Oryctolagus cuniculus: one gene and its partners. The protein of the gene in region 3 interacts with the protein of the main gene of each other region in a pairwise test. Links are inferred from orthologs where the notes say so. Each region holds a gene or a part of one and is shown on either strand. Other genes may lie near its edges.

Region 1 (3,500 bases), on a different chromosome or scaffold from region 3:
TAGTTTGCACACACATAATTCTCAAAGCAAGCATTTTTGAGGTCACTGTAGATCAAAAGTCAAGGCAAAGAAAATTAGCACAAAACTGTAAAATCAAAACATTCCAGTTAGCTTCCTTGTTTGTTCTATAATGAGGAATAGCAGGGAAAGAAAAATATTGGTAATATAGATTAGAGAATTTACTTTTCCAATCCTTGCAGTGTTACTGGGGGAAGGGTAAAAAAATTACTAGAGTCACTGGTTTAAAAGATAGGATATTAACAGAGAAAAAACAGTAAACCACTTTCAAAAAAGCAAAACCACTACCAAATAAATCACCAACAAAAACTTAGAAGCTTGGCATAGTGGCCTAGATAAAGGGAGCACACTTAAATACAAATGTACTTTAAAAATGTACTAATATTACACAATTTAAGTTTTAAATTTCTTGATTCAAAAAATAGAGTTAAATAAATGATTATAAATTGACTAAGTTTTTGCTACACATCTTTATATACAATTTTGTACAAGGAAATAAAGGAGATGTAAAAAAAGGCTCAAAATTGGTCCTTAGATAGGGAAAATTTATAATAATGTCAGAAAGGGAGAACATATTTGTAAATCCTGTTACATAAAACCACAATATGATATCATAAAACATAGTATGTTTCACTTTACATAACAGAAATATTACTAAAAAGTTACAATGTTGAAGTAAGGTGAAATGATTTACATTCTAAGATTTATAATATAAATTCACTATTTCTGAGAATTCTTAGGCAAATCTTTTTTGTGACAGAAATGAATACATATAAATATATCTACACGATAACTCCAGAATGCTAAATCTTACAGTTCTCTTAAATCACAGCCTGCTTTAAACATTTAAATGAGTTTAGGTCTATTGTCTTAGCCAGTTTTCAGCATTTCTCCTGTCTGATTATACCATCCTGCTGTCCAAAAGTATGCCTATACTGTGGTGATTAAAAGTTTTATTCACTGAAACACTAGATTATAAATGAATCTGTACAATATACAACATCTGGAGTTCCTTCAAAGACCTGGCTACAGTTCTTAGAACACTTACCTTCATGCCTTCTTCCCAACTGATCCAGAGGTCACCTCGTGTCAGGAAGCAAGCAACTGCGTGTCTGGCTAAATGGTGAATCCACCCTTCCTGACGAAGCTGTGTCATGATGGCATCAATCCACGGAAAGCCTGTTTGACCTTCAGCCCATTTGGCTAATGCCTCAGGATTCTTATCCCAAGGAATCTGAACACAGATGGGGTTTCCCTCCATTTTATCAAAGCGTGGATTATTTGTTGCTGCTGTATAGAAAAACTCACGCCACAATAGCTGCCCATAAAGAGAAAGAGGAGGGGAACTGTTCTTCTTTACCTATGATTAAAAGGCAAAGAAGTATTATCAGCAAGTTTTAAAAATGTATTTTGAAAGGTAAGCACTGATTTTAAAAAGTACCTTTTTGTAGAGATCTGTCAGTTTGAAGTAGAATAGTCTACATGACAAACAGCCAAATCGCAAATAAGGACTGAGCCCAGTGGGGCTTGCAAGCAAGGAATTAGCATTCATTCGAGGTCTTTCAAAGTTTGCCACCCAAGCCTGAAAACACAGAAAGAATCACATTGTCTTTCCCACTTAAACACAGTATTCAAAACAGATTTTTTTTTTAATAAAAGTTTCCCAGTTCTCTGGGAATAATTTATTATCCAAGCCACAAGTTACATATGTTTATTAAACATGAAAGAAAAGTAAGCATTCTTTCATTTCAATTATCATGCAGCACAGACTCATGTGAAACACATAACCTTCAAACTCCCAACACATGCCTGAGATTACCTTCCACTGCCCACTGAGGTTAACAGAGGATTCTATTCTAATTCCAAAATTATGGTCATCGGAAACCAGGTTAAGTAGAAAGATAGGAAATAACCAAGAAAAATAATCAGAAAAGCAGGAGAAAGGGCATTTAAATGAGGTAGTTAATTTTCAAATACTTAGGTTTGTGTAACTTTATTTCCCTGAACTCTTCTTTTTCAACATTCTACTTTTTGTTTTTAAAAGAGAATGAAATTATTTTTAAAATGCCAGCTTGGAAATAAAACATGGCTAGATGATCTAAATTGTCATACTTTTCTTTCCAAATGCCTTTCCAAACGTGTAAGTGCTTCAGTTTCTCCACCAGGCCACACTGCAGAAGATAAGCCATCTGTATCAAAACCTACAAAAAAACAAATAATCAATTTTCTGGAACTAAAACGTTTTTTATTTAATCACAGTTGTGAAAACAATTATTTTGCAGAAAAATTATGAGAACAGCATGAGCGAATTGAGGGCCTGGAGAGATGCTATGACATAGTCTCTGTTCTTTAGGATGTACATCTTAAGGTGATAGCAACAGATATAGAGAGAGCACATAAATAACTACAGAATTATCATTTCTTAGTTTAGCAGTTTTCTTCTTCTTTCTTTCCCCCCTCACCGTTTCCCTTTTAATGTATTAATACTTCATGTGGAAAAATCAGAGGTAAAATTTTATGAGTCATTTATGACTTACAAACTGTTAAGTTCCACATTTATTACAGTTCACACCCACCTAGCTCTTCCAGGGAAGGGACTCCATATTTCTCATCATGGTCATCAGACACAGGAGTTGTGCACTTTTCTATCACCTCTGAAGTAATTGTCTCCACTGGGATCTCTAGAGGTTCCATCTTGCTGATGAGAGTCTGAAATCTTTTATAAGTGAGAGGCGGTTGTCCACCATTGAGTTCTATGATCCTGTTATAAGAGTTAATAAAGAGCAGTTAATATAAGATACATTGGTGTGATGAGCTCTAAAAAAGGCTTAAAATCAGAAAATAATTAATCACATAAGAGTTCTAATAGAATGACAATTTCTTACATGACCAGGAAATGTATTCAAATAGTTAATGAGTCTAAAACACATTTTCTTCATTTTGTAGATATCTGCAAGATGTCAAAAGTATACACTATGCAAATACCATAACCTTTAAGATGAAGAGTACTAACGACTTATGAGTGAAAAAATCAAGCAGCTATAGTAGCCTAAAAACAATAACAAAAACATTTTTTTAAGATTTATTTTATTCCTTTCAAAGGCAGAGTTACAGATAGGGAGAGAAAGAAACAAAGAGGTCTTTCATCCACTGGTTCACTCCCTGAATGGCCACAATGGCTAGGGCTGGGCCAGGCCAAAGCCAGCAGCCAGGAGCTTCTTCCTAGTCTCCTACTTTAATATAGGAGCCCAAGCATTTGAGCCATTCTCTGATGCTTTCCCAGGCACATTAGCAGGAAACTGGATCAGAAGTGGAGCAGCTAAGACTCAAACCAGGACCCATATTGGATGCCTGCATTGCCACCAGTGGCTTAACCCATCACAATGCTGGCCCCTATAACAAAAACTTTAACACATGTGGACATGTGAAAAACATATTACAACCAAGCTCAAGGAATTCTTCAATCATCAATAAAAATTAAA
Region 2 (3,500 bases), on a different chromosome or scaffold from region 3:
AGAATGTAACCCAAACCCTTTCACAGGCAGTCTCTTCACTGATGAGAGAGAGAGAGAGAGAGAGAGAGAGAGAGAGATTCCCTACATCATAGGGTTTTTAGGGAGATAAAATAATGAACACACAGGCCCCTGACGCTCAGAGATGCATGCAGTAACCATCTGCTGTCACTGTGTCGGCTGCAGGAGGACACAGGCAGAAGATGCCCAGTGTGACGGCCCAGCTGCAAGGCCCCTGTAGGAGGGTGTGCCAGGCTTCATCAGCTAGCCCTGTCCTAATGAATGTCAAATGCCAAGTTCAACCAGTGGTGATGCAAAAAATGGGGCAGATGTCGTGGCATAAGGGGTTAAGCTGCTGCTTGCAATGCCCACATTCCATACCAGAGTGATGGTTTGAGTCCCGGTCACTCTCTGTCAATCTAGTTCCTCACGCATCCTGGGAGACAGTGGAGGGTGGCTCAAGTACTTGGGCTCCTGCTGCCTATGTGGGAAACCCGGATGGCATTCCTGGCTCCTGGCTTCCGCCTGACCCTGCTCTGGCTATTACAGGTCTTTAGGGAATGAGTTTAGCAGATGTTAAGATCTCGCCTTCAAGCAGCCATCAAAGAAGAATATACTCTTCTTTAAAGAGAGGAGAGAACTTCCACTTTGCTTATGGCCTTGTCCAAATACTGGCGGAGTTTGTGGACTCAAAAGGTTTCCATAGCCTAGGCAGTTCATGTCAAGAGCCACGGGTGGTCACTGACATCATACATAAGAGTGTCAGTTGTTAAATTAACAACAGGAGTCATTATGTACTAACTCCCCATGCAGGACCTCTGTCCTCAAGGAGTTGTATTATGAGAGTTAAATGTAGAACTAGTTCTCAGGTTTTTTTGTGTGTGTATGAGCGTGGGTGTGCAAACTGTTGAAATCTTTACTTAGCATAGAGTTGGTCTTCTGTGTACAAAGTTAATTGAAAATGAATTTAATGGAGAATGGGACTGGGAAGGGGAGAGGGAGGAGGAGGAGGGGTGGGAGGGCAGGTATGGTGGGAAGAATTACTATATTCCTAACGTTGTACTTATGAAGTTTGTATTCCTTAAAAAATTAATTAGTTTATAAAAGACCTCTTTCTGTTTCTGCCACTCTACCTTTCGAGTCAATGAAAATACAAAATAAACATTAAAAAAAAGTGAGCAATAGTTGTTGTGCTGCTTTGTTTCAAAGGGCTGGAAACTATCTTCCAGGAACTTTTTTTTTTTTTTTTTTTGACAGGCAGAGTGGACAGTGAGAGAGAGAGAGAGAGAGAGAGACAGAGAGAAAGGTCTTCCTTTGCCATTGGTTCACTCTCCAATGGCCACTGCGGCCGGCGCGCTGCGGCCAGCTCATCGCGCTGATCCGAAGCCAGGAGCCAGGTGCTTCTCCTGGTCTCCCATGGGGTGCAGGGCCCAAGCACTTGGGCCATCCTCCACTGCACTCCCTGGCCACAGCAGAGAGCTGGCCTGGAAGAGGGGCAACCGGGACAGAATCCGGCGCCCCGACCGACCGGGACTAGAACCTGGTGTGCCGGCGCTGCAAGGCAGAGGATTAGCCTAGTGAGCCGCGGCGCCAGCCGGAATCTTCCAGGAACTTTTAAACTACCAGCCCTTGCATCTCCAGGCAGCCTTTTGCCTAGTAAGTAAGCAGCAAGCCAAGCTGCTTCTGGTCCCGGGGGTTCACACGAGAAGACGCTGAGGAAGCGCTGTGGTTTGAATGCGTCCCCCAAAGTTCATGCGCTGGAAACTCAGCCCCAAGAGCCATAGGTTAGGAAGGTTCAGAGGTGGGCCCTCTGGATGTGACTATGATTAGAGGAAGCCATGATGGCCTTGTTGGTTTCACAAGTGGAGGGAAAGAGGCGTGGCCTAGCGTGCTCCCTCTGTCTCGCCCTGGGATGCCTTCTGCCAGGGTCGGATGCAGCAAGAAGGCCAGGGCCATGCTCTTGGACTTCTCAGCCTCTTCAAACCGTGAGCCAAGTAAACGTCTGTTCCTTACAGAGTACCTGGTCTCAGGTGTTTCGTTACGGCTGCCGACAACAGACCAAGGCAAGGAAATGAAAGAGAGAAGGCTGTGTGTCTGGCAGGAAAGGAGGTTCCTACATTTGTAGGGTCTCGTGATCCTGGGGCACCGTGCTGCACCCACAGGGCAGGTAAGCTCCAAGTGTGTCTGCAGAATGGTTCCCTGGAGCTCGAGAGGGCTCCCGGGAAGGAGAAGAAGGCTACCTCCACCAAGGGTGTCACCAAGGGCGCAGGGTTTTAGACATACAAGGAAGATGTTGGGGGCCAGCACTTTGGCTTAGCAGGGTAAGCCTCCGTTGGCATCACCAGCATCCCATATGGGCACCAGTTCGAGTCCTGGCTGCTCCACTTCTGATCCAGCTCCCTGCTAATGTGCCTGGGAAAGCAGCGGAAGATAGCCCAAGTGCTTGGGTCCCTGCACCCACACACGGGAGACTGGGAGACCAGGATGAAGCTCTTGGTTCCAGGCTCTGATCTGGCCAAGGAGATGACAGCAAATTGGGCTATAATGCATTGTTTTGCCCAGGTCGGCAGGGAGTTGGACCTGCTCTAATGGGAACCAGGGGAAGAAGAGCACACTTGGATCCTGCCTCCCAGCTCGAGTCCCAGCAGGCACTGATGGCCCCGACAGAGGAGAGCCGCCAGCGGGGGCCACTCGGCACAGCTCTCTGCCTCCCCGCTCCTCCCCGGGGCCACGTACTTGACTTGCCGTCCAGTCCTGCCCATCTCTGAGGGCTGCCTCGCCTCACAAGACCCAGGCATCATGGGCTGGATGGGCTGGCTCAGCAATAGTCTTGGAACAGAAGAGAGAAATGGGAAATTGTATCAGCACCGAAACCGTAGCACCTATGGCCAACGCTCATCCCCGCTTCCTCAGAGGTCGACAAACTCAGGGCGTCATCCTCCCTGCTCGTGGGGACCCCAAGGCCTCTCCTGCCACTTCCCTCACTGCATCCAACTACAGAGACTTTAGAATCTCTCTGGACCCCGTGTCCATCTGCAGCAGGGAGCTGAGTCAAATCGCTGAAAACCACCCCCTCGGTCGGCCTCTGCACCACGGTGGGCTCCGTACCTGAGCTGCCGATCATGGCTGAAGTCGGGGCTGGGCTGGCACTGGCTGGCCTCCTGGGAGGCGGGAGCAGGCGTGGTCAGATTCAGAGTCGGCGGGAGCGCGGCCGTGGCGCTGCTGAATTGGGACGTCAAACTGCTCACCGAGCGGCTGCCGGCCTGCAGCAACTGCGAGCCCCTCAATGGCTTGGGCCCCTGGAGCATTGAGAGGGGCAGCACTCAGACTGAGCTCAGGCACCAGCTCTCCATGGAATGTCCCTCCCCTGGGCCTTTAGCCTAACTTGGGGCCTACTTAGGACCTAACTGTGCTTAAGTTCTTTTGATCTCGCGACTGTCACGCCATTGGGCTGTAAGCACCTCAAGGCTTCTTTGAGTGCCCTTGGGCCTTGGATGGTACCA
Region 3 (3,500 bases):
TGGCACCATCTCCCTGGACAGCCAAGGGGCCGGCACTCCACGCCGGAGTCTCACTTCATTCGTGAGTCTGGCACAGTTTCCCGGAGCCTCCGAGAGGACGGCTCCAGGGAGGGAGCGACTGCATCTACACACCTGACCGGGGTCTGCTCTCAGCTGAACGCCAGCGTGAGAGGCAGGAGCCACGGGGCCTGCAGGCAGCCAGCACCTGCCGCAGCTATGGAGCTGCGGGCTGGAGCGAGGCCACCTGCCTGCTCAAGCCCCGGTCCCGCGGGCAGCCATCACCCGTGAGTGCCCTGCAGGGGCCAAGCACGAGAGCCGCACGAGGAGACAGGATGTGACTCCTGCCCTCGGGAGTGAGCAGATACGACAGGGCCTGGCGGGGCAGGGCCCCAGGGGACGAGCAGTGTGGCTGCAGCGACACCCCTGCAGGCATGGATGGGGGAAACTGAGGCAGTGGGAGGGCCTGGATTCCAATGCCTGTCAGAGACAGCTGGGCTGAGACGTGCCCAGGCGCCCTCTGTCCCAGGACAAATGAGATCACTACAGAAGATGGAGTGGGGATGAGCAGGAGCAGGGAGACCTGCCAGAAGTCTGTGTCAGGTCTCCAGGCAGGCGCCGGGCCTAAGCCCACGTCCCAGCAGGCATGTGACAGAAGGGGCCCCTGAGGCAAAGGCACTGGGTCTGGTAGAGATGCCGCCAAGGCAGGGATCGACCCTGGCTTCTCCCTCAGGGCTGCAAACACACCAAACACTAGTTAGAAAGACGGCACAGGCCAGCTTCTTCGGAAAAGACACTCAGATGGGCCTGGACCGTGCGGAGCTCACAGGATCTGCACAAACACTCTGAACAAGATGCACCCTCACTGCTGCGCAGTCGCGGGCCGGGCAGCCGCCAGGGGCTTGAGCAGTGCCTGGGCGTGGCCTGCCTCCCTCTCAGCCCTGCCTGCCTCCCACGCCAGGGCAGGCTCCTGCCAGGTCACGGGGACCAGGCTGGAAGAAGGGGACACCTCCCACTTCAGGCCTTCTCTCCCACACCGCTTACCTTGCCGGTGACACTCGGCAAGATGCCCTATGTCATCTTGGTGAAAATATTCATAACATGACGTGCCTAGGAGTTCCTGCGGCAAATATGCCAAGATAGCCGTGGCCCTGAAAGGGAAGGGGGACACTTTTAACGATGACAAAGTCACGCGGCCGAGTAGTCGCAGCTCTGAGCAGGTGAGCGCACGTCACAGTGGGAGAGGGCTTGCTGTGCGGCTCTTTGGTTTTTGTTTTTTTCCCCAGGTATCTGCATTTAACCAAGGCTATAAGAGAGGAAAGCAAAAGCAAAGAAGCCTTCCAAAGGGGCTGCTCTCACAAGAGATCAGGTTTAGCGGTTTCTAAAGGGGCAGCCGTGTTAATTAGATAGCATTCACTCGTTCACTGGCCTTTTTCTTTTTTCTTTTCTTTTTTGAATCAGAATAACCAAACCAGCTGGTGCCCCAGCAGCTGAGGCCACAGAACATTAAGAAGCGGCCTTTTCTAGCATTTCGTGGCTGTCTCTGGTAGCCAGAAAGTTTTGTAGCCTCTGGCTATCTTTAAGGGAGGCAGCAGGGAGCAGGCATTTAGCACATCTAGGCTCCCATCCCAGGCCTGCTGCCGATGAGCTGAGAATCCTGCAGCAGCCCGGTCCCCAGGCCAGGCCTCAGCTCCTCGTCCACTGAATGAGGCGGCTGGACTAGACCAGTGCTGCCCAACAGAGCTGCATGCTAAAAGTGAGACTGGTGAGCCTGAGGAAGTGGACCCTTCATTCTAATTGATTCAATTAAAACCAACTGGCCACATGAGGCTACCATGGCAATGACTCCCGTGTTAGATAACTCGGGGGGAAGTAACTGTTTCCAGATCCTGTACTCCCCGATTCCAGTCACAGTGTGGGTCCACACAGACAGGGAGCGACCAGTCACAGTGTGGGTCCACACAGACAGGGAGCGACCCCTAGCGTTCCCCTTTCGGCCCCACGCGTCTGTCTCTAAACGCTGACGGCGATGCTGTCCTGGGCCTCATTTCCCAGCGGAGGCCCTCACCACGTCCCACCCGGTCTTTCTTCTCGGACAAGCTAACTGCCGACTCAGCCTCCCCTGCTCCTCAGCTCTGGGCTGCAACCCCTCTACCACCCTGGCCTCGAGGGAACGAGACGACCCTTACCTCTGGTCTACGAAAACAAACTTCCCGTCTATGGCGTGCCGAGAAACGTACTCCATGGACTTCACTCTGATTTCCCCGTTCACTGGCTGTGGAACCACGTGAGAGTGCAGCCGTCCGATGGCCACGAGGCAGCTGAGGTTACACCCCTCGTTGTCTGGTTCGTTGTCTTCGTCCAGCCCCATCTTGGTGGGTGGCCAGCTTTTCAAATACCCTGTGCTGTGGATTGTGCAGAAGCTTTTTCGATCTGCTAGAAAATAAAGTCCATGGTTAGTGTCAGGGCTGGCTTTGGGTCATGGAGGCCTAGCCAGCTGATGGCGGGGTGGGATGTAGGTAGGGAGTCAAAAAATTCAAAACCAAGGCCCCACTCTCTAGAACTGAGCACCTATGCAAGAAGCAGAAGAAGGGGCCCGGTGCTGTGGCACGGTAGGTTAACCCCTCGCCTGTGATGCCGACATTCCATAGGGGCGCCAGTTCAAGATCTGGCACTCCACCTCTGATCCGGCTTCCTGCTAATGCACCTGGGAAGGCAGTGGGGCCCCCTGAACCCATGTGGGAGACCCAGAAGAGGCTCTGGGCCCTTGGCTTCAGCATGGCCCAGCCCTGGCCATTTGCAGCCATTTGGGGAGTGAACCAGCAGACAGACAAATCTGTCTCTCTTTCCCTCTCTTTGTCACTCTTTCTTTCAAATAAATAATAAAAAAAAAATCTTAAAAAAGAGAGGCAGAAAGAAAAATAAGACAACCATCATTCATCGCCATATGCCTGGTAGAACCAGCTATACCAAAGGCATCATATATGCCAAGGAAGGAATATCTAAGTCTACCTGGGAATAGGAAGACACTCCAGAAAAGCCAGTGTGGGACAATCAAGAAAAATGAGCAGGGAGCAGACATTCGGCCTGGCAGCTAAGACACCTGTATCCAACAGTGGAGCCCCTGGGTCCAGTTCCCAGCTCCTGACTCCAGCTTCCTGCTAATGCAGACCACAGAGGGCAGCAGTGTGGGTCCCTGCCACCCACGTGGGAGATTTGGACTGAGTTCCTGGCTTCAGGTTCAGCTCCAGCCTGGCCCCAACCATTGTGGGCATGTGAGGAGTGAGCCAGTGGATGAGAGTGCACTCTTTCCCTTTCTCTGCCTCTCAAATAAATAAATAAGGGTGGACAGTGGCTAAGGGACCAGAACGTGTCAAGGCAGAGACTGTCCAGAGACACACAGGCACATCCTACACAAGGAACAGCAGGCACTGTGTGTGCCTGAGGTGAAGTGGGGGAAGCTCCCAGGGAGAAGAGGCAGGAAGGCAGGTTGGGGCAGACTG

The links. The genes of interacting proteins can lie anywhere in the genome.
Region 1: the proteins of BMAL1 (region 3) and CRY1 interact in a two-hybrid assay, tested with the Homo sapiens proteins (3 studies listed by BioGRID, with this or other methods). The link is inferred for Oryctolagus cuniculus from reciprocal best matches to the Homo sapiens genes BMAL1 and CRY1.
Region 2: the proteins of BMAL1 (region 3) and NPAS2 interact in binary tests that used the Homo sapiens proteins (3 or more experiments, as listed by UniProt). The link is inferred for Oryctolagus cuniculus from reciprocal best matches to the Homo sapiens genes BMAL1 and NPAS2.

The regions. Positions count from the first base shown.
Region 1 is NC_091442.1:109,558,288-109,561,787, forward strand, and holds part of CRY1 (cryptochrome-1), read right to left. Parts: intron 2,780-3,500; coding exon 2,595-2,779; intron 2,220-2,594; coding exon 2,131-2,219; intron 1,601-2,130; coding exon 1,460-1,600; intron 1,379-1,459; coding exon 1,067-1,378; intron 1-1,066.
Region 2 is NC_091433.1:107,597,020-107,600,519, forward strand, and holds part of NPAS2 (neuronal PAS domain-containing protein 2), read right to left. Parts: intron 3,297-3,500; coding exon 3,106-3,296; intron 2,827-3,105; coding exon 2,734-2,826; intron 1-2,733. UniProt on the Homo sapiens protein: Transcriptional activator which forms a core component of the circadian clock.
Region 3 is NC_091432.1:52,832,565-52,836,064, forward strand, and holds part of BMAL1 (basic helix-loop-helix ARNT-like protein 1), read right to left. Parts: intron 2,434-3,500; coding exon 2,187-2,433; intron 1,149-2,186; coding exon 1,042-1,148; intron 1-1,041. UniProt on the Homo sapiens protein: Transcriptional activator which forms a core component of the circadian clock.